Linked DNA regions of Tamandua tetradactyla. The protein of the gene in region 2 purifies or fractionates together with the protein of the main gene of each other region. This does not show direct contact. Links are inferred from orthologs where the notes say so. Each region holds a gene or a part of one and is shown on either strand. Other genes may lie near its edges.

The links.
Region 1: the proteins of USP15 (region 2) and GLUL purify together in Homo sapiens (affinity purification with mass spectrometry; 3 studies listed by BioGRID, with this or other methods). This does not show direct contact. The link is inferred for Tamandua tetradactyla from reciprocal best matches to the Homo sapiens genes USP15 and GLUL.
Region 3: the proteins of USP15 (region 2) and SMAD2 purify together in Homo sapiens (affinity purification with western blotting; 4 studies listed by BioGRID). This does not show direct contact. The link is inferred for Tamandua tetradactyla from reciprocal best matches to the Homo sapiens genes USP15 and SMAD2.
Region 4: the proteins of USP15 (region 2) and TUT1 purify together in Homo sapiens (affinity purification with mass spectrometry; 4 studies listed by BioGRID and IntAct, with this or other methods). This does not show direct contact. The link is inferred for Tamandua tetradactyla from reciprocal best matches to the Homo sapiens genes USP15 and TUT1.

Annotation. Positions count from the first base shown.
Region 1 is NC_135330.1:37,223,910-37,230,764, forward strand, and holds the start of GLUL (glutamine synthetase), read right to left. Parts: upstream 3,018-6,855; 5' UTR 2,845-3,017; coding exon 2,822-2,844; intron 1,308-2,821; coding exon 1,129-1,307; intron 1-1,128. UniProt on the Homo sapiens protein: Glutamine synthetase that catalyzes the ATP-dependent conversion of glutamate and ammonia to glutamine.
Region 2 is NC_135333.1:129,774,068-129,781,068, forward strand, and holds the start of USP15 (ubiquitin carboxyl-terminal hydrolase 15), read left to right. Parts: upstream 1-3,998; 5' UTR 3,999-4,068; coding exon 4,069-4,157; intron 4,158-7,001. UniProt on the Homo sapiens protein: Hydrolase that removes conjugated ubiquitin from target proteins and regulates various pathways such as the TGF-beta receptor signaling, NF-kappa-B and RNF41/NRDP1-PRKN pathways.
Region 3 is NC_135344.1:35,188,642-35,195,849, forward strand, and holds the start of SMAD2 (mothers against decapentaplegic homolog 2), read left to right. Parts: upstream 1-4,191; 5' UTR 4,192-4,291; intron 4,292-4,355; exon of another isoform or gene 4,356-4,395; intron 4,396-4,536; exon of another isoform or gene 4,537-4,633; 5' UTR 4,634-4,721; intron 4,722-7,208. UniProt on the Homo sapiens protein: Receptor-regulated SMAD (R-SMAD) that is an intracellular signal transducer and transcriptional modulator activated by TGF-beta (transforming growth factor) and activin type 1 receptor kinases.
Region 4 is NC_135335.1:11,968,555-11,975,705, reverse strand, and holds the start of TUT1 (speckle targeted PIP5K1A-regulated poly(A) polymerase), read right to left. Parts: upstream 3,023-7,151; 5' UTR 2,666-3,022; coding exon 2,584-2,665; exon of another isoform or gene 2,570-2,583; intron 1,153-2,569; coding exon 962-1,152; intron 1-961. Other genes in the region: metastasis-associated protein MTA2, read right to left, coding at 5,015-5,180, 5,417-5,559, 5,668-5,786, 6,154-6,243, 6,413-6,641, 6,904-7,043, 7,149-7,151. UniProt on the Homo sapiens protein: Poly(A) polymerase that creates the 3'-poly(A) tail of specific pre-mRNAs. Localizes to nuclear speckles together with PIP5K1A and mediates polyadenylation of a select set of mRNAs, such as HMOX1.

The DNA.
Region 1 (6,855 bases), on a different chromosome or scaffold from region 2:
CATCACTTCCTTCAAGGACAGTAAGATGACTGCATCACTTCCTTCAAGGAAATTACAGTCAAAAGAATGTCTCTTCCCTAAATAAGCCTACAGCACACCAAGGAGACACACTGAAATCTGATGTCACTAGTGAAGTCAGTCATTTAAAATACTGAGACAGGGGAAGACAAAATTTTCTGATCGTCCCACTAGTTCACCAGCCATTGTTCCCCCACTGGTCTTTATGGACTGTCTCAGCTCAACTCTCGTCCTTATTAACTTACTCAAGGATTGCTTCCGTATCCACCCTACCACAGGAAAGACCATCTGTTCAGATGCACTTTTCCCACTGTTTTAAAGGCCGTTTTTTGGGTCCCTTCAGCCAACAATGAGCTTTCTGAAGACAGACCCAGAACTCTGCCTTCCCAGTGCCTAGTCCAGCAGCTGCCATGTAGCAGGCACATAATGTATACTTTATGTTATGGTAGTTCATTCACTCATTCACTCCCATGTGAACATTATCAGAAGAATACGCTATCCTAATATAGGCGGGAGGTGATATTTTCTTTTGTTCTCTCTGGATTTTGTCTAGAAGGGGCAGGGCTATGGCTTCCTTTAGGAGAAAAACTGAAGGTTACAACTCTAATAAAGCAGCACCTAGTGAGGTGGAATAAGCAAATCAGATGATTTAAGAATTTCCAAAAGCGGTACTAACTGAAAACAAATGAATGATTAGTCCTATTCACAAACCACTTTAGGGTATATGCTTTGTACAACATGAATACGAAACGAAGCATTCAACAGTTTGTAAACTAGATGGCGTATTCAGGTTAAAGCAATGGTCGTCCAACTGGGCTCCTTGGGGTGCCACCTAAGGGACAGCCAAGTTGGCAAAGCTCAGGCTCAAACCTGAGCCTTTATTTTTCTTCAATATATTGGGCTACATGCGAGATTCCACTTAAATAAAGGGTTCGAGTATTGCTATGTTTTGAGGCAGTGTAGGAGGTTAATAAATGTTGATTGAATGAGGCCTGAAAAGGCCCATCTTAGAAAATCTTTACAAACACAAAAATAAAGAGGTCCCATTGAGTAGTTTGGTCTAAAGCCTACCCCCCGTACTGCGCCCACCCAGCCCAGCCCAGTTCTCACCTTCTATGCACTTAGGCTCACTGTCCAGGGTGCGCGTCTTACAGCGCAGTCCTTCCCCAGTGCCATCGATCCAGATATACATGGCTTGGACCTTCTCGCCCTGAGGCAGCCCCAGGTAGAACTGCTTGATGCCTTTGTTCAAGTGGGAACTTGCTGAGGTGGCCATGGTGGAAGGTGTTCTGGAGAGAAAAAGAAGAACATCTGGAAACCAATCTTTGGACTCCAAACTGAACCCCCTGCAGGGATGGCTCAAGAGGGAAATTTAAATCCAAGGCAGATGCTCCCTTTGAGAAGAGTGGGGTGGGGGCAGCCCCTTCCACTGGAAATCCTACACCCAAAGGTGTATTTATTCACTCTGGTTTCAAGAGGATCAACGTTTTTATATTAGTCAAAAATCTCCTGATAGTATTAGGCTGTAAAAATCCGATCAACTTTGCAAGAGAAAAGCCCTTGGCAATAAGCCTTGAGGCCTCTCAGCATCCTTGGGGCTTGAGAGATTAAGCTCTACTCCCCTCAGCACAGGTAGGGGAATTGTTTTAAAACATTTTATGCTAAGATACTACAGAAGTTCTACTCGAGAAAATTTAGAAAACAGATACAATCAACACAAATAATATCTAGCCACAGAAAAGCTTGGCTGCTATCATGTCCAGTGAGTGTTCCTTCACCTAAGTTGCAGTTTTTATAACAACCCCTTTTTGGCGATTCCCCATCCCCCTCAACAACATGCATTTAGATTTGAGGGTTAAACAAGGGCCTTCACTAGAAAGATTTAAAAGGCTGGAGGCTTCTTAAAAGCAAGACTGCAGTTACCAATATCACCAAGATAGAAGAGCTGATCCAAGGCATATTCTAAGGGGAACACTGCCATAATTTCCACTGGTCTAATGCAAAGTCTAACTTAATTCAGAAAGTGAGAATCACAATATTCTCAGATTTCACTGGCCAACTTTAAATAATAAGGGAATTCTCGCTTCTTAAACCAACATGATCTGGGATTTGGAAAGGTCTGATGCATGCTAAAAACTGCAAGCCGCCACCACCAGACCTCGGAAAGAAGAGAACCCAAAGCCACAGAACCGGCCTGGATGGTTAGAGGAAATGTTCTCCACACTCCACCCCACCCCTGCTCCAAACCCCAGGGTGGCTGCAAAGGAACACATTGTTCTCCTCCAATGACTTGAGCAACTTTCTAAAGTACAGTGGCAAAGTTTCTGCGGGCAACCATCCATGTTTGCCCAGCTGAAAACATAACTGCTTCTCCTTCCAACAGCCTCACCCTTCCCTGTGCGTTAGAGGAGAACCTCCTCCGGCAAGTCTTATAGGAGGAAAACCAATACTTCTGCCTATTGCAGGAGATTTGGTAGGTCAAATGCCACCCTCCACGCCCCCAACCAACCCCCCCCCCCCCCCGCCCCCGAAAGACCAGAATCTCTGATCCCTTCAGCTCCAACTACAAGTGAGAACTCAGTCTTTTAGCTTTCCTCCTAACTTGATACACCTCCAACATCAAGCCATGCTTCTCTCCAGTCCGGGTGAAGTGTCTTGTTCTCTCTCCCATGAGCCGGGTAGGTTGCCAGCAGCCTGCTGTACAATAGCAACTGGTGCTGCCGCAGAGCTTAAATTTTAAATCTTTGAGCTCTTTCTGCAGCTGCCACCAGCTGGGGAGTCCTCCTCCCTGCCCCTCACTCACCCCGGCCATAGGAGGTTAACCATATCGATGGGGTGGCCCTCGTTATGAGTCCTCTTTTTTGACTTGGGTTCACGCCTCTCTTCGTTCTCGGACTCTCGCTGGTCCAAGCACCGGAGCTTTCTGGGCGTTGGGGACGGGGATGGACAGGGGGATGGGGTTGGACACGGGGAAGGGGACGGGGCAGGGCACGGAGAATGCTCTGACCGGGTGGTGCTGGGATACGCGGGCTGGTGGGTCAGGGTCTTAATCTTGACTCGCGATTTCTCTCCCGGGTTCACCGAATAGGCGACGAAACCGAAGCAGTTGCTGGGGGACCCCGAGGACCGCGATTCTGTGTCTTCCGCATCATACTTCTTCTCGGCTTTGCGGCTGGGGGGGCGTCCCCGCTTCCCGCCCCCGGCGAAGCTGGAATCCACTTTGAGTGCAGTCCTTTCCCCCCGAAGTGTTCCAAACGTCGGGCCCCCGCCCCTCCGGCCCCGGTCCTGGTCTCAGGGACTCACCGAGGGGGCCATTCCCCTCCGGGGGCAGAGGCTGGGGACGGAGGGGAGGGGGTGCGGGGCACGTCGGCGGGAGGGGCGGCGTGCGGCTGCCACCTCCGCGGGGACTCGCCTCTAGCCGCGGCCCCGGGCTCCTCATTGTTCGGTCACAAGTGGAAGGTCCAGAACTCCCCCCGGGACTCGGTGGTAGGAGCCGGTCGCGCAAACACTACACTCCTGGTTAAACGAGCTTCGTCGCTCGGGCGTCAAAAAGATAATACCACGAGGACCCCACCCCCCCAACAGCTGCCACCGCCGAGAAGAGAGGGTGGACCCCGCGCCTGCCCAGCGCCCCCGCGTGCGTTCCTGCAGCGGGAACACGGCGGCTCCACCGACAGCCCAAACCCCACCACCGCGCCCAGGGCCGGCGGCTCAACGGTCCCGCCCGCTGAAAGGTCTCCTGGGCGTCCCTCTGGGCCGCGAGCAGCGGAAGGAAGATCAGAACAACCTCCTCCCCTTCTCAAAACACCTCGAGAAAGGCGCGCCCCCAAAACGCCAACCCAGACCCTCCGGGAATCGCCGACGGCGGAGCCACGCGGGAGGCCCGGGCGTCTTTGACCTCCTGAGCCCAGGAGGTCACAGCGCACAAGTGAGGACAGGAGGTGAGAAGGAGCCAAACCCGCACGAAGGGCCCCTAGTGCCACCGAGGGGCAGGCGGCGGGGCCCGCGCGCGTCCCTTCTGTGCTGTCCGGGAACCTTACCTGTGCAGCAGGCAGGGCAGAGGGAGGGAAGGCCGCGAGAGCGAAGTGAGAGGAGGCCGGGTGTGCAGGTCACACGCTGAACCCTTCTCTCATTCTCGGCTCTTCCGGGTCCCCTCGGGCCCGGCACCCTTTATCTGCGGCCGGGAGCCGCCCCCGGCGCCCTGATTGGCTTCGAGCGGCCGGGAGCGCGGACAGATCAGCTGATGTGCGCCCGAGCCCGGTGGCCATTGGGCGACGAGGCGTGCAGGCGCCGCGGGGGTGGGGGGAGCGAGCCCGGGAAAGAAAGAAAGAGAAAGGGGCGTGGGGGAGGGGGCGGAGGGAAGGAAAAGAAGGGCTGGCTGCTGGCGTGCAGAGGGCGCGAGTTCCTGCCGAGAAAGGACCCCGCCTGTAGTCGGCTCGAGCAAAACAACCGCGGCATGACCCGGGGCGGCCCTTGCAGCCCCCTCCCCCCGAGGCAGAAGGTTCCCAGAAAACCGCCAGCCCCTGCTGCCTTCCGATTGCATTGCAAGGAGAGTCCTCCTTTACGATGTCATACCGCGGGCCCCAGAGTTGCGGTTGGAAATTCTGAGCCACTGAACAATAATTTTGGCCTTTATTGTTAGAGAGCCTTCCCGCCCCTACTTCGGGGCGCGCTCGCGTTACGCTAGAGAGGGAGCGCGGGGTGCGGGTGCCGGGAAGCCCTGGGCTTTCCTGGGCGACGGCGGGTGCAGCAGGGGCCTGGAAGAGGGCAGCAAAGAGAGGGGGCTCCTGAAGGTGAGCCGGGGTTCATAACCCTAGGACAGCCCCCCTCCCCGGTTGTCTCAGGAAATTTTGGAAAGAGAACACAATTGTTACTGCACAGTTTTAATCATCGTTCCATGGAGTGGATTTTGGCGGGCGGTGGAAACAAAGTCAGGAGACCTGTCTGATACCGTCTTTGTCAGGCAAGTCACCCAGCCACTCTGGGCCCAAGTTTGCTTATCTGCAAAATAAAACTGTTCAGAGGATGACCTTTTAGAACCACCCACCAGATTTGAAATTCTATGTGCAAGCTGATCCCAAGTGCACTGAGAGGAAACGGAGATCTTCCAATTACCCCTTCGAAGCTCAGAGTTTGTAAAAAAAAAAAAAAAAATAGCATTCTAGCATTCCTTAAACAATTTTTCTTTTCTTTTGCCTTTCAGGTGACTTATTGTTCCTTCTTTTTAATCCGTAAATTGGAATACGTACCCCCTCTCTCCTCAGCCTCTCTGTGATGGTTGAGAGAATGTATGTGTAAACTCAATGGTGAAAATGCTTGCCAAAGATGCACGATCATGGCAAACTACAAAAAATAATATTTTATGTTTGCATTCTACCAGTTACTATTACTCAGTTAATCTATTTTTATTGCCCCCAATTCACCTGGAGGTGTGAATTTATTGCTTTTCCAGAAGTGCTAACATTTGAGACAGATTTTTCTCAGGCTTTGAGTCTTGGTCTTTGAGACCGAGAATTTATGCTTTCAGTGGTTTTGGGACACGAAAGGAAGAAGTTTGTTCTTCTGGTTGTTTTTTGTACCACAAACATGGAAAAGAAACGTTGCTGGTGACCATAAACATAACCTGGGTTCTTTGGTCAACATCCCTTTCCTTTAAGAGTGCATCTGAGTACTGTAGTGCTTTTAAATGACAAATGTAGCATTCACGTCCAGCGGGGGCGTTTGGTGTGTTTCAGACTGGTGACATCCTGGATTGGGTATAGAACCTTACAAATGTAAGGGATTCCATGTTAAATTTCAGTATTGCACATTGTAGCATTATAGTGCCATTGTTAAAGACAGGGTTTAGGGTCAGACAAACGTAGGTTCAAATCAGGGCTTTATCTCTTTAACAGCTTTGTATCAGCCGAGTTACTTAACCTCCTTAAATCTCAGTTACCTTGCCTATAAAATAGAATAACAAAAATTTAATAGGGATAGTGTGAGGATTAATTGTGATAACAGATGCAAAAGTGTTTAGGATAGTACTTGGAAAACAGTAAATGTTTAGTCCACCCTAGTTACAGCAGTGACAGGCCCGGGATGATCTGATGAGACTGGATTATTTCTTTGCCTGTAGCGACCATTCAATTGATACCCAACCAAAACAACTTTCTGACTCAGTGTAATGCTTTACCTGGGAACAGAGTAAGCTGTCTTAATTCCATTTCTTTCTGTAAAGCCTTGAATTTAAATGGCCGGGGGTGGGGGTGGGGATGGGTGTGGAGTAAGAAGAGGTGATGTTCTTATTTTAAAAGATGTTAATTTCCAAATGCCAAAACTACCAGAGATATAAACCAGTGCTTTCTACTGCATCCATCACCACAGCCCCTCCCTCCATTAGGAGATGGCAGTGATAGAAAATGGACTACTAGAAGCAAATACAGCTTCTGGTTTATTTTGCTGGGCAAGTGCCTGCTTCCCTTGTTAGGTGTCATAACCTCCTTGAGCAGTTTATTCATCTTCATATCCCTTGCCGGTATCCAAAGTGAGTGTTCAATAAATGATGTTTGTTGACCTCACACAATGACAGCGGCACCATCAAGAGAACATGTGCTTTGAGCTGCTTTTCCTGGAATGGAAGTGGATTTGCTTTGATCCATTCATGTGACCAGGGGCATGCTTTGTGAGGCTTAGGAACATAATATGTGGCCACTCACTCTTTCAGGAGTGAACAAGAGGCCTTGTCCTCCTTGGTCAACCCCACACTTACTTAAACCAGCCGAACTAGGGCCCAGAGGAGTCCCAGAGAAGCTGAAGCGTAGACGAGAGAAGAAAAAGCAGAAGAAAGTCCTTTAA
Region 2 (7,001 bases):
GTACTATTAACTACAAACAGTCCATGGTTTAACTTAGGGGTCACTGTTTATATAGTGCAGTTTCATGGATTTAAAAAAAAAATTTATCCTATGACCATATATATATATATATATATATATATATATATATATATAACATATCCCTTTTAGCCATATTCAGATACATATTTCAGTGCTGTTAATTATGTTCACAATGTTATGCTACCATCACCACCATCAATTACCAAAATATTTCCATCATTCCAAATAGGTGCTCTGTAAATTTTTTTTCAAGAAGATAAAAACAAAGGTAAAAAGAACACCAAAAATATACCATCCCCCATCCCCCCATTGTTTATTTTTTTGTCTTTTTTTTCTTACTCATCTGTCCTTACACTGGATAATGGATAATGGGAGTGTCAGTCACAGGGTTTTCACAATCACATGGACAGACCTTAAAAGCTCTATAGTTATTCAATCATCTTCAAGAATCAAGGCTTTTAGATTACAGTTCAACAGTTTCAGGTATTTCCCTCTAGCTACTCAAATATACCAAAAAGTGAAAAGGGATATCTATATAGTGCATAAAAATAACCTCCAGAATAACCTCTCAACTCTATATGAAATCTCTCAGCCATGGAACCTTTATTTTGTTTCCTTTCTCTTCCTCTTTTTGGTCAAGAAGACTTTCTCATTCCCATGTTACCAGGGCCAGGCTCATCCCCAGGAGTTATGTCCCATGCTGCCAGGGAGATTTGTACGTTAGGAGTCATGTCCCATGTAGGGAAGAGCGTAGTGGGTTTACCTGTGAGTTAGCTTAGAGAGAGAGACCACATTTGAGCAACAAAAGAGGTGACTTTTGGGCGGACCATGGTGGCTCAACAGGCAAGAATGACCAGGGTTTGATTCCCGGTGCCTGCCCATGTAAAAAAAAAGAAAAAGAAAAAAGAGGTGACTTTTAGGCATAGTCTTAAGTAGGCTTATCCTCTTCTCTTGTAGGAATACATTTCATAAGGGCCAGCCCCAAGAGCTAGGTTAAGTTTTTTTGTTGTTGTTGTTTTTTTAACATGGGCAGGCACCAGGAATTGAACCCAGGTCTCCGGCATAGGTTAAGTTTTAAATGGACAAGAAAGGTACAAAGGGTCTGTGAAGGCAATGAGAAACACTTAAGCAAATAATACATTCTTATAAAGTTGATTAAGGAAAACATCAGTAAAGCCACACAATCTAAATAATCAAATGTAGCCTTTGATTTATATTCTGTTATCTGTGTGAGTCAAGGTCAAATAATTTTTCTCATAAATTATCAACTTAGCTATTCAGTAGGGATGTGGACCTTAATCAATTCAGTATTTACAAACATCTCATTTCTCTTCATAATTATGTTTGCAAGTAGAACCATAAATAAATAGGCAGAATTTTCATAAATTAGTAAACTGAGATCACTAAAATTTTAATTGCTATAAACAAGATCATAAAGGTAGCTAGAAAAATAGAAACTTAACCAAATCTTTTAGATGCTGGGGCTAGACTGCTTGGGTTCAAATTTAGGTTCTTTGCCTCAATTCATCATTTATAGAATGGGGATAATAGTGGGACCTACTCATACCACTATTGGTACTTGTATCATGTTTAGAACCATGTTTAACACTTTGTAAGCTTGTTAAATAAAATAACTAGTATTTGTTTCCTGTCTCTGATGGCAACTGGTTAGGTGTACAATACAACCTCATAAATCTGATGTATAATTCAAATTTACAGTGAATTTACGCATCTATAACCAATTAACTCAGTTGCCTTGAACATGTGTAAATGAGGACAAAATTATTTTACTTTGTTATATGAGTTCAGGCTTCAATATTTCAAAAATACATCTTCTTTGAAGGGAAAATTGGACAGCAAAGTGTGAATGGTGCATCACTTTTTGGTTATGTTATGTCTATAAAATGATAGGGAGGAGTTTGCCTTCAAAATTCTTAATGCTTTTTCCACCAGTAAACAAAGCTACTATTTATTGACTGGTTATTATATCTCAGGCAATAAACATGTGTTGTTTCATTTAATCCTAATAAAAATCTTTTAAGGTAGGTATTTTTATCCCCAATTCTAAAACTACAGTAAAGGTTAGGTACTTTGCAGCAAGAAGCTGAAGTGAGGTTTGAACTTAGGACCATGTGATGCTAACATTCTTTCCATGTCATGCTGCTTCTCTGTGAAAAATTATTTTCTTTCAGAGGTTGGGTGAAAAGGGGGAAAATGTAATCCTTTCAGGGTACTTATCTATTCAGTAGGGATGTGCACCTTAATCAATTTAGTATCTACAAACAATATCTCATTTCTTTTCATAATTATGCTTGAGAGTAGAAGCATAAATAAAAGAAGCAGAATTCTCATTAATTAGTAAACTAAGGTCACTGAAATTTTGATTTCTATAAACAAGATCATAAAGGTTGTTAGAAAATTAGAAGCTTGCCTAAACCAGGTAAGTTTGGGGACTCTGGAACCCGAGTCAGCTTTAGTTATTTTTCTAGCCCGTCCATAAAAAAAGCCAAATAATGTAAGAAATAGCAAAGGCTGGAAGCTGTTTTCAGACTCTCAAAAGGATGACATGATAGTGCACAATAGTATTACTATGCAGAAAATAAGCAATCATAATGCTGAAAGACACAAATCATAATGCCAATATGTACTACTTTCACTTGGGAAGGTTTAACACTTCTTATTGGCATAATTACATCCATCTTTACTGCATTCTCAGCAAATGAGTTAAAAATGGGAAAATGAGAAAGATCATATAGGGATTTTCATCATCTTTTATACTTTTCACAGCATTATGTTATCTTAATCCCAAATCTATGGACATCTTCATCCTTGAAAGATTGAAACAGTTTTGCAACAATTCATTTATTAAACAAATATCTAGAAGGAAGTTTTGTATTAGGCAGCGCTGTACTAGCCACCAGACGTACAGAAATTTGGCTTTTTTTTTAAAAGATGAACCCAGTTCCAGCCCTTGTAGAGTTTACATTGTAAAGCCAGTTGTGCTGTGATTGTGATTGTGATTGTGATGTGATGGTGTGATGTGATGTGATGTGATGTGATGTGATGTGATGTGATATGGTGGAAAGCACGTGCGTTTTAGAACCTGGGTTATAAACTTGTCTTTCCACTTTGCTGGCTGTGACCTTGGCCAAGGCCTTTCATATTGAGAGACTCGATTTCCCCAATTGTAACATAACTGTTGGCATCAAATAATATTTGATTGGTCTTATTTCTAGTTTCATTTCAGGTGTATACACCATGGAAAGATGAGGCTAAGAAAAGATTACCTTCCGATACTGAGGAGACAGGGCTAACTCGCACGTTTTATTATCATATGGTGCTTGGCATTATTGAATACGTATTTTATGCCCTGTTCACTGAGGAACTGGGACATGTTTTCCACTGCAGCTAAGCTGTCTGGGTGCGCCTGGAGAGGCGTCACAAAAGGTCCCCACCTGCAGCAGGAGTAAGCACCTGGAAGGAGACCGAGGAGGGCTTTGAGGCCAAGCGTTGTTGTCCTGTCGTCCTTTGTTTTGGCCAGTATTCACCGAGGTCGAGTTCCGGGACTCGCGATGAAAAGACAAAAATCAGGAGCTGATAAAATTTTCTGCCAGGGATTGATTAGCCGTCCCCACACCCCTTGTCCCACCCCACCCTACCCTCTAGCGTGAGTGAATGCGCTAATAAGGGTTTTCGGGCTTTCGCGAGAAAGAGGGCAGGAGAAGGCAGAAGTTGAGATGGATCCGGGTATGGCACTGCTCAAACGAGAGAGCCTCGGATACCCGGCGGGGGAAAGCTAAAACCAGGGGATCCGGATGGGCATAGGTAGTGGCGGAGGCAGGTTGCTGGGAAAAGGGGGGACGATGGGGGGCAGCAGACCACGGCCGCGTACTCAGTGCACACTCCCGAGGCGTACCCCCCTCCCCTTCCTTCTCTTTTGGTTTCGACCTGGCGGCTGGGAGGGGCCGCAGGACGCCATTCCCATAATGCTCTGGGGCTTACCGCCGCCGCCGCCGCCTCCGCCTCCGCTACCGCTAGTGGAAGAAGATGGCGGAAGGCGGAGCGGCGGATCTGGACACCCAGCGGTCTGACATCGCGACGCTGCTCAAAACCTCGCTCCGGAAAGGGGACACCTGGTGAGGAAAAGGGGTTGAGGTGTCCTCAGTTGCCCAAGGATGGTGGGGAACTGGGTCGGAACCATGGGCTGGTGTCTTTGGCTAGTGACAGGTGCGGGCAGGTTCGGCGGTGGCCGCCCTGGGCAACAGGATTTTGGCCGCTCCCGAAATGTTGGGGCAGGAGATGTGGGCCAGGGCTAGTGGTCTGTCGGGGCGTGCTGAGTGAGAGGTGTGTGGAAGCCGTATCTGCGGCTCGTGTAGTTCTCTTCGACCTCCTTCCCTCCGTAGTGCCGCTCCCACCTCGGGCCTTCGCGAACGATAGGTTAGAGTCGTTTGGCATGAGTCTTAACAGTGTTTTGACAGATCCCGGTCCTGCGATTTATCACGGTCTAACCCGCTTTATTTCTCCAGTCGTTTCCTTTCCTGGCATTGTCGGCATCTGAGTTTGCTCTTATTTTGATTCTTATATTCTTCCGGAAGACAGGATGCAGGATGCAGGATGTTTGCGGTTAGTACTACACAGGTGGCACGTGTCAGGGCACCAATTAAGAGAAGGAAACCCTAGTCTAAAGGAGGAAGAGAAGTAGGGAACCTTAGGCTTATGAGAAGTGACCACGTGGTCTTCTGCTTCAGTGGAGGCTCGTTAGAAGCCGGCTGCGACTCTTTGGAAGTGCAGCTCTCCCCTCCAGTTTCAGTGATAATGTAGGCCTGCAAAAAGTAGATAAGGCTTAAGTAACGTAACAATTTACAAACTTATGAAACACCAAAAGGAAATACACTTAAAATGCTGAAGAAGGTGTGGAGACTAATACCTTTTGGCCATATGAAGTGGCATCCAAAATAACATAAATTTGTGAATATGTGGCATAAAGATAAAATGCTTAGTTTATTGCGATGATGAGAACAAGCATGCCTTTTTTTTATGATTTGTGTATATGTGTTTAAAATAAAAATACAAATACATAATTTTTCTGAAAACAGCTAAGGAACATACTGTATTCATTGTGCTTCTTTATAATAATAAAAACTTATTTTCATTTCCTACTGTCACTATAATAATGGTATATAATTTGCAGTGTTTTTTTCATGTACTTTATTATGACTTTTAGTGGAAGGAGCATATGATTTAGACCTGAGTTATGTTACAGCTCCACCACTTAACTTGTGGAATGACTTTGGGGAAAGTTCATTTAAATCATTGCACCTCAGTATCTTCATTTAGGAAATGGACAATAATAATTTCACTATAGGGGTTTCATCTTGATTTAATTAAATATTCTAATTTCCAAAAGAGACATCAAGTTTCAGTTACCGTCTTATCTCCTCTCTTGAGAATACACCTGTGGTATTAGTACCATTTTCAAGTAAACTGGTGGATGGCAAACTTGGGATTTAAATTTAAATGATACGATGTAAATCCTGGCACTATTTTTCTACTTTGTCAGACTGCATACTATTTTTTTTATATAACAAAAATTCCTAAGGGTGTCAAATATTTCTGTTGCAATACAGCATAAATTATAATGTTTGAATGAATTTATAATCGTTGTTCTTCAAGTTGGAATGTTCCTAAGATGTTTATTACTGTGGGAAAATGGACTTTGGCCTGTGTGCTTTTAAAGGTGAAATCAATCCTTGATTCCTTTGTATATTAAAGAACATTTAACAATTCTTTATTCATCTAGTCAGTTACCCCCGCATAAAAAAGATAAATGTGGATTTCCTTATAATAGAAATATGTAAGTTAAAATTTAGATAGTATTGTTTCTTTTTAGTCTTGTCATATTTTTGATACACTGAGTAATAATTGGTGGTGTTGACCTTAGAGGATGATACAAGTGCTGAGTGTATTGTGGTCATTAAACTTTTAAGTGCGGCATTTTTTCAAATGAATGTATTTTTGCTTTTTATTTACAAAGTTATTGTAAATCATTTTAAAGGGTAAATACAGGTGGTCTATAAACTTGAGTTATTTCAATGGTTTCATTTTAAGAAACTGAAGCCCAGATATTTTAAGTAACAGCAGAATGTGTAGGTTTTTATCAAACATTACTTTTCCCTCTGAATTAAAGAAAAAAAAAATGACAGGAACTATGTAGTGCTGGGCAGTTGCAGAAACCAGTTTGGTTTATATGTGAGCCATTTTACTTGCCATTTAGCAACTGAAACCTGGCAAGAACTTTAGAGTAAAACTCTGATTTGGTCTTTTAAGGAAAAGTATAGATTTGATCATATCCTTAAGTTCAGGACTGGTAGAGATATTTAATTTAGTTATTACTTGGGCTTACATATTGGAACTCAGTAAAAAGTTAGATTTCTCTTTTTAACGTCTCTTTTTAAAAGTTTCAGATTAGTTTTTTCTGGGTATTTGGTCAAAGCTTGTTTGTTTTAAAGCTGGAATGGGCCATATGCAAATGAACATTGGCTTTGTGTGTGTGTGTGTGTGTGTGTGTGTGTGTAGGATAACCATCTTTGAAAGACTGGGCTGGGCGGGCCGCGGTGGCTCAGCGGGCAAAGTGCTTGCCTGCTATGCCGGAGGACTTCGGTTCGATTCCCGGCCCCAGCCCATGTAACAAAAACGGAGAAACAGAATACAATAAAACAAGAAAATGTTTAAAAATGTTTCCCTTTCTTCCTTCCTTCCTTCCTTCTATCCTTCCTTCCTTCTCTCTGTCTTTCCTTTAAAAAAAAAAAAAAAAAAAAAAAAAAAAAAAAAAAAAAAGAAAGACTGGGCTATTGGGGAAAAAATGATGGGTTTACCATAAGTTTATTTCTGAAACTTAAATACAGATGATTGAAGTTATAGTCAAATGCATTAAAAAGAATACATTTCACCGATGAGTGTATTGTAGTACTCTGGTAACT
Region 3 (7,208 bases), on a different chromosome or scaffold from region 2:
GCATCAGACACAAGGTTTTCACAATAATACAGTCACATTATAAAAGCTGTATCATTATACAATCATCTTCAAGAATCAAGGCTATTGGAACACAGTTCAATAGAACTACCTGGATCTTTCCTTAAGATATAGTAATGCTCACTGTAACAATTTCCACTACGATGAACAAATGGGTCAGTAAGGATGAGGCAAAACTGTGTAGAACGCTGGAAGATGTTGCAGACCGAGGATATACAGCATTTTTCTGCTATACAAATGATGTATTTCACCTTCTTCAATTAGTGAGCATTTTAATAAGGATGAGAATAAGATGCTGTCCTTGTCCTCCAGGAATTTATAATCTAAATGGGGAGACAAAATATACACCCATGAAAAATTAAATAGCTGCTCAAGACTAAACTAACAGATCAAGGCATTAATCAAAGAGAAGTCATGTACACCATTCTGACCATAAGAAAGAGTTCAGAGGTGATATAAGTTTGGGCTGGGGAAGCCAGGGAAGGGCTTTAGAGATTTACCATAGAGGAAATAGATATGAATTATATCTTTTGAAAATGAACCACACTGAGATACAGTTTAAAAAACAAATCACACTACAGAAGAACTAATGATGAAATTTTAGTTTTCCACTCATGACTCTCAGGCTCTTTCTGAAAACCAATCACCATTACCATTTTTCTCGCGTCTTTCCAGTGTATTCAACTACCTGTAAATAGAGTCTGAATTGATTTTGATTTTGCAGTGTAATGCACAATGAAGGGTTAAGCTTGGTATCTATAAATATAAAAGTAAGACTCGTTCAATATAATTTATACAATAGAGACCTACTAAGAGATTTGAAGTACCCTAGTGAATTTCCAAGCTGATTGTTGCCATGGCAATCCCTGCCCCATCTACTTCAGTTCCTGTCTTGACCCACTTTGGTTTAGATGTTTCTAGCAGAGAGGACAGTTGACATGCTACCATATCTAAACCCTTGGGGACTGCATTGGTAGCCAGATTGTCTCTCATCCTCTTTCCTCAATCCTACAAATCCTAGAAGGCCTTCTAGAAAGAGCTGGAACCCAAAATCTGACACTTTGGAGAAATGGTCTAACTGAGACCTCAAGCATATTACCTATTGAACTAACGTACTCCTCCCCCTTTCTCTCCTCCCCATACTTGGAACAGATTCTTCTGGGGTCCTAGCCAGGTTTACTTTTGTTCCTACCCCTACTCACCCAGGTGGACATGGAAATCCATACCCTGCTAACATGGGAGAGACCGTTCATGTGACTCATCAGTTTAAAAAAAAAAAACTTTTATAAATTTTCACACATACAGTCCATACATAGTATACAATCAGTGGCTCACAATATCATCATGTAGTTGTATATTCATCACCATAATCATTTTTAGAGCATTTGCATCACTCCAGAAAAAGAAATAAAAAAAGAAAAAACTTATACATCCCATGCCCCTTACCTTCCCTCTCATTGACCACTAGCATTTCAATCTATCGATTTATTTCATCCCTTATCCCACCTATATTTACTTATTTTTTATAATTTCTTTTTACTCATCTGTCCATTTCCTGGATAAAAGGAGCATCATACACAAGGCTTTCACAATCAGAGAGTCACACTATAAAAGCTCTAACATTATACAGTCATTTCAAGAATCAAGACTACTGGAACACAGCTCAACAGTTCAGAGTACTTCCCTCCAGCCACTCCAATACACCATAAACTAAAAAGGGATTTCTATATAACGTATAAGAATACTCCCTAGGACAACTTCTCAACTTTGCTTGAAATCTCTCAGCCACTGAAACTTTACTTTGCCTCATTTCTTTCTTTCCCCTATGGTCAACAAGACTTTCTCAATCTCATGATACTGGGTTCCGGTTCATCCCAGGAGTCCTGTCCCACGTTGCCAGGGAGATTTACACCCCTAGGTGTCATGTCCCATGTAGGGGGGGAAGGCAATGAGTTCACCTGGAGTTGGCTTAGAGAGAGGGCAAGGCAGCTTTTTAAGGCTTTTTTATATTAAAACTGTTGACTTGCATTAATAGGAAGAAGGACCAAAAAACAAGCTACCTTATTTCAAAATTGAACGGCCAGTATTAGTTGTCATTTAACCGCCTCCCTTTGCCCTAGACCAACTTCCCCAGTGGCCGCTGGAAACAAGGCATAGGTGGGACTGCTCCACCAGTTGGCTTCCTGGGTCTCTTTCACTAGCTATTTTTAATAAGGGCTGAGTCAAGCTGCCTCTAAACTAACAGCGTAAGATACCACCCTGTTAGTAAATTTTTGGAGGAAGGATTTCTACTGAGTAGGCTCATCTTTGCATAAATACATGCAGGCAACAGAAGGGAAGGAAAATTAATATTTATTGACTTTAACTTCAAAGCACTATGCTACTCACTTTCATATTTATTAATTTATTCATCACACAATTATATTTAAGTAGATATCATTGCAAGTGAGTTCTTCTTCTCAAAGATTACAGACTTGAACAGAGCTGTACTCAAAATGACAATTTAACTCCAGGTTTCAGGCTCTTCGTCACTACGTTTCCATGAGAAAAGTACTTCCACGCATGAGGAGGTGGTGGAAATGAAAGAGATTTTGAAAGGAACTCTGGAAAACCTGTAAGACTCAGAGAAGTAACGGCTAAACATTTCTCCAGGTCCAGCTGAAGGCCCCTACTTCCGAGTAGCCTTCATTTCTGGGATTAAAGAGTACACCTTCAAAACGCTTAGTGTTTGAAATGCTCCTTTGGTACTTCTTGATTACTGATTTGTATTGCTACGGATGCTTTTCCGCTTGAGTTCCCAGTTAAATCCATGAATGATAACATAGAGTGCTGGACAGGAAGCCAAGAAAACTATGTTCTAGTCTTGTCTCTGCCACTTTTGTGAGATCTGAGGTTCTTTTCAACTTTAGTTCTGCGGTGCTCCCCAATTAAGAGAGAGGCGCTTAAGAAATACTTGACGTATTGTGTTAGGTTCAATATTTTCGTGAGCCGAGGTTTGGGTGTCCCTAAGCAATAGACAAATCCTGTCAGTCCTGGGCAGTGTGCAGCCTAAGAACTTTGCAGCCTTCGGTAGCGCAGAAGCGCTAAAGTCTGGCCTAGGAATATCTCAGTTGAAAGCACTACGGAAGGAGCGCCTGAACAGTGGAGAAATGAACAGCAAGGCAAGGAAACCCAACAATTCTGAGGCATCGTGCCGGGGACTTATCTTTTAGATTTCACAAAGACTGCACAGAGAGTGCATTAGTAGCATCATTTTTACCGAGGATGAAACTGAGATTCAGGTTAAAGGAAAACACCTGGCCCCCTCACGCTAAACGCAAACGGCATCCCAGGCTCTCGGTTTATTTACACTCGGACTCCGCCCCCGCCGCACAGCACGAGGGGCCCCGCCCACTCCCTCGCCTGTGGGTGTGTCCAGGCGCTGGCCGAATCCTAGGGTTTTCTTCCTAGCCCGCTTCTGTCCGTGTTCGTCCAAGCCTCAGGGCGGGCCCCAGCCTCCCCAAGAAATGAGCACGTGTCCACTCCCGGCTTAACTAAGGAAAGTGCACCAGGCGGCGGCCCCCAAGCAGGGCCCACCCCATGAAGCTGGGGAAGGGCGGAAAGGGTCCCGGGGCCGAGGCGAAGAGAGAAGGGTGGTCGCCGGGATTATTTTCCCAGCGCGGCAGGTTACGTGCCTTCTACTTCCTCCCTCCCCTCCCTGGAGTCTTTTCTGGGAGCGTGCCGGAGACGAAATCAGCCGAAACCGCTTGCGTCCAACCCCTCCTCGTCCCCAGCCCGCCCGGCCGCGCCTCGCCTCACGCTCTACGAGGGAGGCGGGACCAATCAGCGAGCGACGTCTCCCTTCCGATTCAAGCCACCCGACGCGCGGCTCACACCCCGGCTACCCCGCGCGCTCATTGGCTGCGTGGGCCGCCGGTCCAGTCGCGAGGGCGGGGAGGGCCGAAGGGAAGGGAGGTGGGGAGGTAGTGGCCCGCAACTCTCCGTGCCCTGCTCGCCCCTAGCTCTTCCCTCGGCGCCTGGCCTCCCTCCTTCTTTCCGCCGCTCCCTCCGTCTTCTCTGCGCGCGGAGCGCTCCACTCGGCCGGCGTTCCTCCGCCCTAACAGGCGGGTGGGGGCGCCAATCAGCGGGCGGCAGGGTGCCAGCCCCGGGGCTGTGCCGGCGAATCGGCGGGGCTCGCGGCCCGGGGTGGGAGGCGGGTCTACCCGCGCGGCCGCGGCGGCGGAGGAGCAGCTCGCCAGCCAGCAGCAGCGAGCGCCGAGCGAGCCGCCGGGAGGTGGGTACGCAGCGCGGCTGCGGCCGGCGACGCGAGGGCGGAGGGCGGAAGCGGAGGTGGGGCGGCGGGCGCGGCGGGGGAGGGCTCGGCCGGCCCGATGGCCCGTGAGAGGGATACGGGAGCGCGCGTGAGGGGAGGAGGGGCGGCGGCGGGACGCGCGCGTCCCCACCTCCTCCCTCCTTGGCGGGCGGCGGCCGTGGCCCTGCGACCCCTCCCCGCGCACGCCGGGCTGCCGGCGGGGCACTGGCCGGGGGAGTGGGGGGGGCGGGGCGGGAAGACGGGCGGCGGGGAGCGTGTTTTCAGTTCCGCCTCACGTCGACCATTCCCCTCTTCCCCTCCCAGCCCCCTCCATCCCATTCGGAAGAGGAAGGAACAAAAGGTCCCGGACCCCCCCGAGTCTCACTGGGCGGGACCTGGAGCCTCCGTCCAGGTAAAGCCTCGGTTCCTGGTGGGCCCTCGGGGCTAGGGGTGTGTTTGTGTTTGGCTTGGGTCGGTGAAATTCGCGTGTCACATGGCCACGGGGGTTGGGGGTTGGGGTGTGGCGAGGCTGGGGCAGTGGGTGCGCCGGTCTCTCCGGAGTGCGGATACCAGGGGGGCCAGGGACAAGCAGAGAGGGCAGGGACCGAATCTTACAGCTCGGCGCACTGGAGCTTCCCGGCCCAGCCTGGTCCGGGGCGGGGGCCGATCGTGTCCTTTCCCCTCTACTCGTAACACACTTGATGGTTTGCGGTTCTGATTTTTAAAGCCGAAGGGACATAGCTCTCTTCTTTCAGGAGTTGTGAAGCCGTGTTAGGACCGTGTGTTACTTTGCGTCCACTTTTTTCCTGGTCCTGTAACCTTTGTTAACCATAATACTCTCGGGTTCTGAATGGCTCTTGGGTACTCTTCTCACAAGAACACGCACACGGCTAATCTGTCGAGATCGTTTTTTACTCACTTGTGGAAGTTGCTCTGTGAGTAGACGCTATTAGTTTTTAGCACATGCCTTTAAAAAATAGGCTTATTGATTTCACGTATTTGAAACTTGGTTTTCAAAATTGCAACCTTAATCTCTTCTCTTCAGGGGAGTGCTGCCCTTGGGTCGCGTACTTTTGTCTTTACTTTTATGCGGTTATGGTTTCCTTTTGATCCCAAACAAAAGAAAAACAATACCTAGGTTGGTTTTGTTATTCGTTCCTCTCTTGACTCTTTAAAATCCAAATACTGCAGTTTTGTTGTCTTTATTTAAAAAACGTCTCCGGGTAAAATGAATCGTCCATCAAAATCATGTTTTGTTTGCTACAGTTTGAAGTATACTAGTTTGGTGTTTTAACTTTTAGAACTACATATGTAAAATAATTGTTAATAAATAAGTAAGTAAATAGTCTTGCAAACTTATTTGAAGTAATTTCATCTTTTCAAAAATGGTCCCAGAAAATGGAATTTCTAGAATTCTAAAATGATACTTTAATATTGTTTCCTTTTCATTTTCTTCTCCCTTCTGACATTTGAATTGAACCTGTATCACTGATAGTACCGATGTTTTCTTTGAACCTAAGAAGACAATAAATCTGCTATTATTAAGCCGAAAGTACATTTGCTATTATTGGAGTTTTGATCCCCTTAAAAAAATTCCCACTTACATAGAAGATTAATAGTTAAATGAAGTTTGAACAGTTTTCATGTGTGAATAAGTGAAGCCAATATAACCGAGAGATGGGAGGTATAAGCGAAAATGGATTTTGTAAATGTGTGTAGTTTGAGAGTTTTTCATTTGCCTTAGGAAATTATATTGGTTGTTTAAAGGATTTCCTCCACCAAAAGGTAATTTAGCACAGTTTTTACATTGAATTCAGAAAGTAAATTTTTAGAGTTTCTTGGTTTTCACCATGAAATTTGCTTTGTAGTTTGTAGAAAATAAAAATAGTGTATGTCTTTGAGCATTTTTAAGAAGAGTGTCCACCTGTATTCTATTTATTTATTTACTTTTTCTACATGGGCGGGCACTGGGAATCGAACCTGGGTCTCTGGCATGGCAGGCGAAAACTCTGCCAGTGAGCCACTGTTGTCCGCCCTCTTTTTATTTTTTTTAACCTGAATGAGAATGGAAGTTCATTGTCTTTTATTTTATCTGAATTTAAAAAAATTAATTTACTTTAAAATATTTATGTATAATAAAATTCACTCTTCTTGGTGTACAGTTCTGTGAACTTAGACAAATGTATCTTGTAGTAAACCACCCCCACACTCGAGATAAAGAGTAGTTCCATCACTCCTAAAAAATTCCCTAATACTACACCTTTATAAATCAGCCTCAACCCCTTTGAACCACTACGCTGTTTTTTAGTCCCATAATATTTGTCTTTTCCAGATGTCGTGTCAGTGGAATCATGTGTTATGTAGCTGTTTTAGTCCAGTTTCATTGGCTTACACATTTGAGAGTCATGTTATCAGTTTTTTGTTCCTTTTTTATTGCTGAATAGTAGTCTACAGTACATCCATTCATCATTTGAAGTACATAACATTCTTAATGTTAAAATCTATTGGATGTAATTGAGTTTAGAGAAATTCATTGGCCATTTTTAATTAATGTAATGTGATTTGAAACAACCATTTTAAAACTTGTTTTAGTAAGAAATTCTCAGGAAGTGCTATTTTTTTTTTTTTTTGGCATAGTTAGGCTCCAGGAATTGAACCTGGGTCTCTGGCATGGCGGGCAAGAATTCTGCTACTGAGCCAGTGTTGCACCGCCCAAGAGCTTGGTTTTTATACTTTTTACCAACACCTTAGTCTTGCAAAGAACTATGCAGGGTAGTCAGGTTTGGTATGTATTCCTCTTAAGTAGGAAAATTGGGGATGGCTTTATATGTTTCAAGCATCCACTTTAACAAAACTGCTTAATGGGAACAAAGGTGGTTTGGCAAAAGGTGCTTTTTAA
Region 4 (7,151 bases), on a different chromosome or scaffold from region 2:
GTTTAATATCCGTAATATATAAAGAGATTCTACAACTCAACAACAAAAAAACAAACAATCTAATTTAAAAACGAGCAAGAGGCAAAAATAGACAGTTATCAGAAGAAGAAATACAAATGGCTAGAAGGCATATGAAAAGGCAGGCATTAAAACCCAGGACTACCCAGGCCTGACTTCTTGTTGTATGAAAAAAATTAAATTCACTTGTTTAAGCCACTGAAGTTAGGTTGCTGAATGCAATCTCTAACAAAAGCAGATCCCATCCTAAGACAAGACCTGGGCTGCAAAGGAGACCTGGGTCTCACCTAAGCCACATCTACTTAACCAAAATGCAGACTCAGAACTACAATTTGATCAAAGAGAGCAACATTCCAACAGTAAATCTTTTTCAAGGGATGAAAGGGACAATGACAAAAGGTCTGCATGAATGCAAGACCACAAAGAACAAGTTTGTTTGCTTAGCACTGACCAGAGCAGGATGTTCGGACCAGATAACCTCAGTACCTCTCAGTGTAAAGTAATAAACTGACAACTGATTTACCAACCAGTCTCTTGTGGGGTTAGGATAGGTCCCCAGATGGTATAGTCTTAAAGCACCTGTTTTAATTGTCTCCTTTCTCCTCTAGACTGTAAGCTCTGGGCAAGCAGAAACCATGCCTATCCCAGCTCACTACCCAGAATGCAAGTCTATGCACAGTGCCTAATACAAAGTTGACACAAATAAATATTTGGTGAATAAAAGTTGATTGAATAAATAATGACAAGTCTCCTAATGACTAATTCTGAACTGATAAAACTCCAAGCAGGGGAGGAGTTTGCAAAGCTGGACTAGGGCAAATACTGTGGTATCCCATCAAGGACAAGCCATATGAGAAACCAGCTGAAGCAACTGCTCTCTCGGGTTTCTTTTGGGAAGTAGCACATCAGACTCATTCTTCATTCCCAGAGTCATGCATTCTACCTTGTCTTTGTCCATGACGACACTGGCCACAGGTCCAAATGCCTGGAAGTATTCAGAAAGCTGAGTAGAATCCACATCCCGCGAAAAGCCACTGACAAACACACTCCGAAGTCCCTGGGCTTTTCGGGCAGCTCGTAGTTCTACCAAGTGCCGGTGCTTCCGGCCTCCCAAGTGAGCATCTAGGCTGGGCCCTGCAAAGGCAAGTATGAGACAAAACATCAAATCACTCTTCAGTGTACCTGTTTCTGCTTTTGTTCTCTGCACACCTAAACCTTTACTGACCCTTCAAAGCCACAGAAAGTGTAACTTCTGAATAAAAAAAGTCCTGGTCCCCTTCTTCTTTCATCTTCCTCTCTTGTTCATTTTTCTATATGCTGCACTCTCTAAGTGGTTCTTTGGGGAAGTGGCTACACTATAAATATTTCTTAAAACATCCATAAGTGCTAGGTACAGTGGCACCTAAAAAAATGTATAGCAATTAACAGGCAATTTATCCAGGTCATATAAAGAATTAAATTAATCTGCACTATGGACTATTCCCCATGAATCATTTCTGGGTACTTAGCATGTACTGCTTTTAAGGGCAAGATCTGGAACCAAACTGCCCAAGTTCAAATCCCAGCTCTATAAAGCCATAGAGACTTCAGGCAAGTTACTGAGCCTCTTGTGCCTCAGTTTTCCCAGATATAAAATGGGGATAATAATATACCTACCCACATTGGTACTATTCATATATACAACTGGCAGAGTCAAGTACACAGTAAATGTAGAAAAAGATAGCTTCTATTATTATTTTTATTATATCTAAGTCTGCTCCTTAGTGCCACCAAGGTAGGTATGGAGCCAGGGAAGATTTAATGACTTCTGGGTTTCTGGCTTGCCCTACTGGACAAATAGTAATAGTGTCATCCACACAGAGAGGGAAGAATGGAAGAAGATTCTCTACAGGCAAGATTATGATTCTAGACTTCATCAATAGAATCTGAGGTTTCACTCAACCCCTTTGAAAGTCATGCAAGAACCCTGTCTAGATTTCCAAACTCATCTTCTTGCTTGCTGGTGCTCTACGCTCCAGTCATGCAGAATCTCACAAACATAACCATGCTATTTCACACATCCCTGCTTTCGGCAGCTCCTCTAGAAGGGTTCCCTGACTCCCAATTGCTGCTGTCTCTGTTATCCACAGCTTTCCAGACATTATCTACAGAGTATTGAAACGGTTTCCTTCTCTGGATGCTCAATTCCTTCATCTCTAAATCCCCTCCTTCACCCCAGAACCCAACAAAGTACCAGGCACAGATGACTATTAAATAAATCACTATTAAATAGAAAACAGGGTGGTGCGACGGTGGCTCAGTGGCAGAAATCTCGCCTGCCATACCGGAGACCCGGTTCGATTCCCGGTGCCTGCCCATGCGAAAAAAAAAAGAGAGAGAGAAAGAGAGAAAACAATGGAACTTTCCTCGTGGGGATTTCGGTCGGGAGGTGGCTTTTGACAACGGAGGTGAGTGACTCCAACAACCGACCTGACAGGGACAATGACCTTTAACCCTAACTTTCGCTGGGGCCAAAAGACTAAAGACCCCAGCCACATCCCCTCCCCCTCACTATCCACCCCTTACGGTTAGCTGTGGTAACTTGGCAGAGGCAGCAGCGGAAAGCCCCACGCGGCAGCGACTGGACGTCCGAACCGACCGCCGCCATTGCGCCTCTCACGTACCGACAAAAATCTACCGCTCCTGCCTCCACCGGAACTCACTCCTCCAAATCACAACGCGCTGGAAAACAACTTCCGCCGGTCTGATAGGAAGTGACGTAATCGGCACTCGCTCGGGCACGTTCCCCCCGGAAACCGAGGTCAAGGTTCCGTTTCTTGATTGTACGAAGTCGCCACCGGCTTTAGGAAAAGCCTCCCTTCTGCGATGCTTATCTTGCTTTCGGTAAGCCGATTGGTGTGTTCTGCATGATCAGGCGCTGATTGGTCCGGAGGATCGTGGCTATTGTTAACTCAGCTGCCAAGGCAGGCGCGGGCGGGAGTGGGGACTGGGTCCCCTGCGGCTGCCGGCTCTGCTGCTGCCGGATGGCGGGGCTGCGGTCGTGAGCCGCCGGTCGTGAGCCGCTACTTCAAGGGGCAGTCGCGACCCTCGCGCGGGTGCCCACATCCAGCCCCACATCCACCCCGCGAATAAAGGCGGAGGATGGGCAGCCTCCACGCTTTGGGCCCACGAAGCCTACGGCTCTCCCTGGACTCCCAATCTCGGGGCGTTTACCCTCTCCCTCCGTCCACGGACCTCCCCCCGAAAATGGGTGTGCGGCAGCCGCCTCCTAGTCTCGGGTGGGAGCTCTGTGCGCTTTCCTTCCGGACTCCGGCGATCACTCGCTGCGGCCCGGGTGGGCCAGGCTCGTCCCTGCACCGACTTGCCTTCCGTAGCAGTGACCTCCGCAGTGTATATTCAGGAGGCTGCAGAACCTCCGGCCCACAACAGGGCAGTGCGCAGGAACCAGCTGTGGTAGCAGCCGAACGAGGACAGTAGAGGGGGGATGTGCTGCTGACCCCCAGACTGGCATAGTGTTCACTTCCTCCCCTAACACCTCGGAGGTGTGAGCCAACTCCTCGTGTAGTGGATGAAGGGGACCATTCGATGGGATAAACAGCTTGTGCTGTGGTTACCAGCCCCCACCTTTGGATGGTGGAAAGAGCAGCGGACCTGAGGCAGGCATACTGCGGTCTGTAACTTTGACCAAGTCACAACTGCCACTCCCCATCTCTAAAGGAGTGCCCAAAGCACACACAGACTGACCTTGTCCTCTCTCCTAAAGTATTCTTCCTATTGGGCTTCACCCAAACCTAAAACCGCAGAGGACAGTGGGCCCTCATAGCTAGGCAGTTGCTGAGACCAGCCCTCAAGATCTTGAAGCAGCAGTGTGTGAGAACAGCCGTTACTGGGTAGTAGGATCCTGCGGTACACTCCAGAGTGGACTACATCCCCTGGCCTCTAGCAACTCCCAGAATTCCCTGAGCAGAGAGAAGAGTAAGAATTGGGAAAACAGAGAAAAGACCACGCTCACAACCCCCTCCTGTGGAAGCCACCAGCCGCCCAGAGAGCCAGTTCATCCCAACTGCTTTGAACCTGGGCCAAGATGGTCCATTAGTTCCAGCACCACTGGGAACAGGGGAGCAGTTTGTGTCCTACAAGAAGGCTGGCTGGAGTAGACAGCCTGAGTCCAGTGTGCATAATCTCATAAAGAAGTGGTTCCCAGGGCAAGCCCAATCTGTATCTCCTTTATTGTTCTTTGTCCTTTATTTTCCCACACCCCCCCTCCTGGACCTCCCTCCCTACATCTATGGCAGAGAAGAGCTGAGCCTGGAGGGACTGAAGAAAACAGCTTTTTATTTGTTACTATAAGAACCAATTACAGAATTCCAAGATTAAAAAAAACAGACAAAAGATCTTTATTTCTGAGTTGGTGTACAAAAGGCAGAAGGGGGGAGGGGAGAAGAGGAAAGGAAAGAGTGAGCATGGGCTGGGGTTGATGCCAGTTTAGGGGCCTCAAACTCCAATTAGGAAAGTCCGGACACCGGACACGAAGAGAAACCCCCAATTAGAAAAAAAATAAAAATAAGATAGACATGGCAGCGCATGCCCCCCTCCCCCAACCAGGTACTGCCACCTGATACCTGTTTACTCTTCCCCTCCCCTCCATCCCCTTTCACAAAGGGAGGCAAAATTTTTAAAAAATTAAAAAACCCTCCCCCCAAAACTGTCCAAGACAAACTGTGGGTCCTATCCCCCCAAAAGAGGCCAGGTTCCCCACAAGGGCCAGTTTCCTGCAGACTGCCCTCCATCACCAGGCTTGGAGAAGCATGGGAAGGAGACAAGCTTAGTGGTGGTGACACCAGAGGGCGTCTTTCTCTTCCAGGGACACGCCCACACTTGCTTCCTCCCTTCTTCCTTCCCTCCACACTCTCTTAGATACCAGAGAGAAGGGAGGTTTGAGTGCCCTGAGGACCCACCCTCTACCTTTCAGCCCACTTCCCTTCCCCACAGATGCTCAATCCTCCAGAACAATGGGCTCATTGGTGCTGGCAGGATGTGCAGGTGCAGGTAGAGGCACTTGGGGCCGCACTGCAATCAGCGGAGGCTTCACCTTCAGGGGCAAATTGGGTCGGCGGGCAGCTCTCCGCATTTCCAAGTGGGTCAGGGCCTTCCGCAGAGCCCTGGCCAGAAAGATGAAGACAGGAATACAGAGAGCTTAGAAAGGCTAAGACTCCCCAAGAAGAAACCCCACCCTCCAGTTCTGCCTTCCTGTTCATTCTTTTCTAACACACACACATACACACTCCCCACCCCACACCCACAGTCTTTCTGACGCTGGTCTTGCTGGGTTCTTATTTCCCATACCCACCCACTTGGCTCATCAACCTCTAAGCCCCTCTCATGGTGGGTTCCCTACCTGGTATCTTTTGTGGCCACAAACACCACAGGATTGGGGGCATCAGCTGGGTTAAGTTTCTGGCGCTTGGCTACTGGCTGTGAGCTTGAGCGAATCCCTGAGGCCAGAGGCCTTCCATTGGCAGAGAAGGGGACCCCTGCCATCTGGAAAGGGGTGTGGCAGCACAATGAGGGTGGGGGCCCTCTGAGGCTCCTACCAGAAATAAAAACCCACCCACGTTAGTCTTGGCCAGCCCCAGTCTGCCAACTCACGGTCTCATAGGCTCGTTTCACCATAATGCCTGCCAGGCCCCGGTTCTGGGTCAGCTGGTTCCTGTTGATTGGTGTCTTGGTGCCTCGAGGGGTTTTGGGTTTCAAAGGAGCCTGGGCCACTGCCAGGAAAAAATAAAGGAAAACTTAGAAAACTTTTGCCACCTTCTTTCCCCTATGCAGTTTCCTTTTCTCACCTCCACCTCTTTCCCTGTGGCAGCAATTTTCCCAGGCATTGCCAAAAGGAGTGATAGGGAGGGTCTGGAGAGGTATTACCAGTACTTCAGAGATCAGGACTGCAACCTTATCAAGTCAGTGTGGTAACACTGTATAGCTTACGGGAAACCATTATTAAGCTATAAAAGTACAGTTTGTTAAACTAAATCTTTTAGGATTCAATGGGGGAAAAAAGCAGAGGAGTACTACTTTACTCTTATAGTAAAAGGAGCCAGAGCTTGAGCCCACCCTAACTGGCAGCCCATCCTATACCCAGATCTTTGACGATAGTTGCCAGGGGCAGCCGAACCAGAGGATGAATTTTCAATGGAGTCTTGGCAGCCTTAGGAAGTCGAATGGAACCTAGAACACAAAGATTGAGGCTTCACTATTCAGCTACTTCTGAGACCAGGAGCCATGTCCAATCTCTTAATAAACCTCTAAGACTACAGTCGTTAAACATGCAGAGAAACACTGGTCTCGAGCCAGAAAAACCCCGACCCCGTCACTAGCCCCATCATCCTGCGCTTACACTCTGCCTTGATGGCATTGGCATTGATAGGGGCATAGGGTCTCCGGGCTGCCCTCCTTGGCTGTAACAGGTCCCTGCACATGCGCCTGGCAAGACGGGTCAGCTTTGTGGTTTGGAGCAGGAATGTCTGCCTGTTCTTGGCCAGCAGCTTGGCCCGATTAGCGCTGGTCGTATAGGGGGAGAGACTTTGAGCTTCAGGTCTGGACAAATGACCCCTCGAGTGTGGCTCCTGGGGGAAGGGCATAGGAAAAGGGGAGAATGAAAATCAGCACCGAGACTCCCTTCTTTCTTCCATTCTCTGCAGAGGGTGAATTTATTCTTGCCTCACCTTTTTACTGCCATCCCGAACTACTGGCTCCCTGACCACTATCAGCTCTGCCCCCTTTTCCCTGGCAAGCCATCACTGGATAAAGAAATGGGTATTCTGACCTTCTAAGTCTCATATCATCATGCTTACTCCTCTCCCCTGCCTGTCTGCCATCAATTCTTACTGTGGTGCCCCGAGCAGCCCCCTCAAGCTGGGTTGGGGTCTTCAGTCCCCCATACTTCTTCCAGTAGATCCAACAGGAAGCACAGAGGCGGCACTGCATGTTGGGTGGGCCCCAGGCATACCACTGAGCAGACTGTGTGGCTGCAGAAACATAGAGATGAGTGGGAGGTCAAGGAGGAAAGAGTTCTCAAGCCAAAGCAGGCCTCCCACCCACCCCTGGCATCCGAGTCCTTCCCTTGAACTCACTGT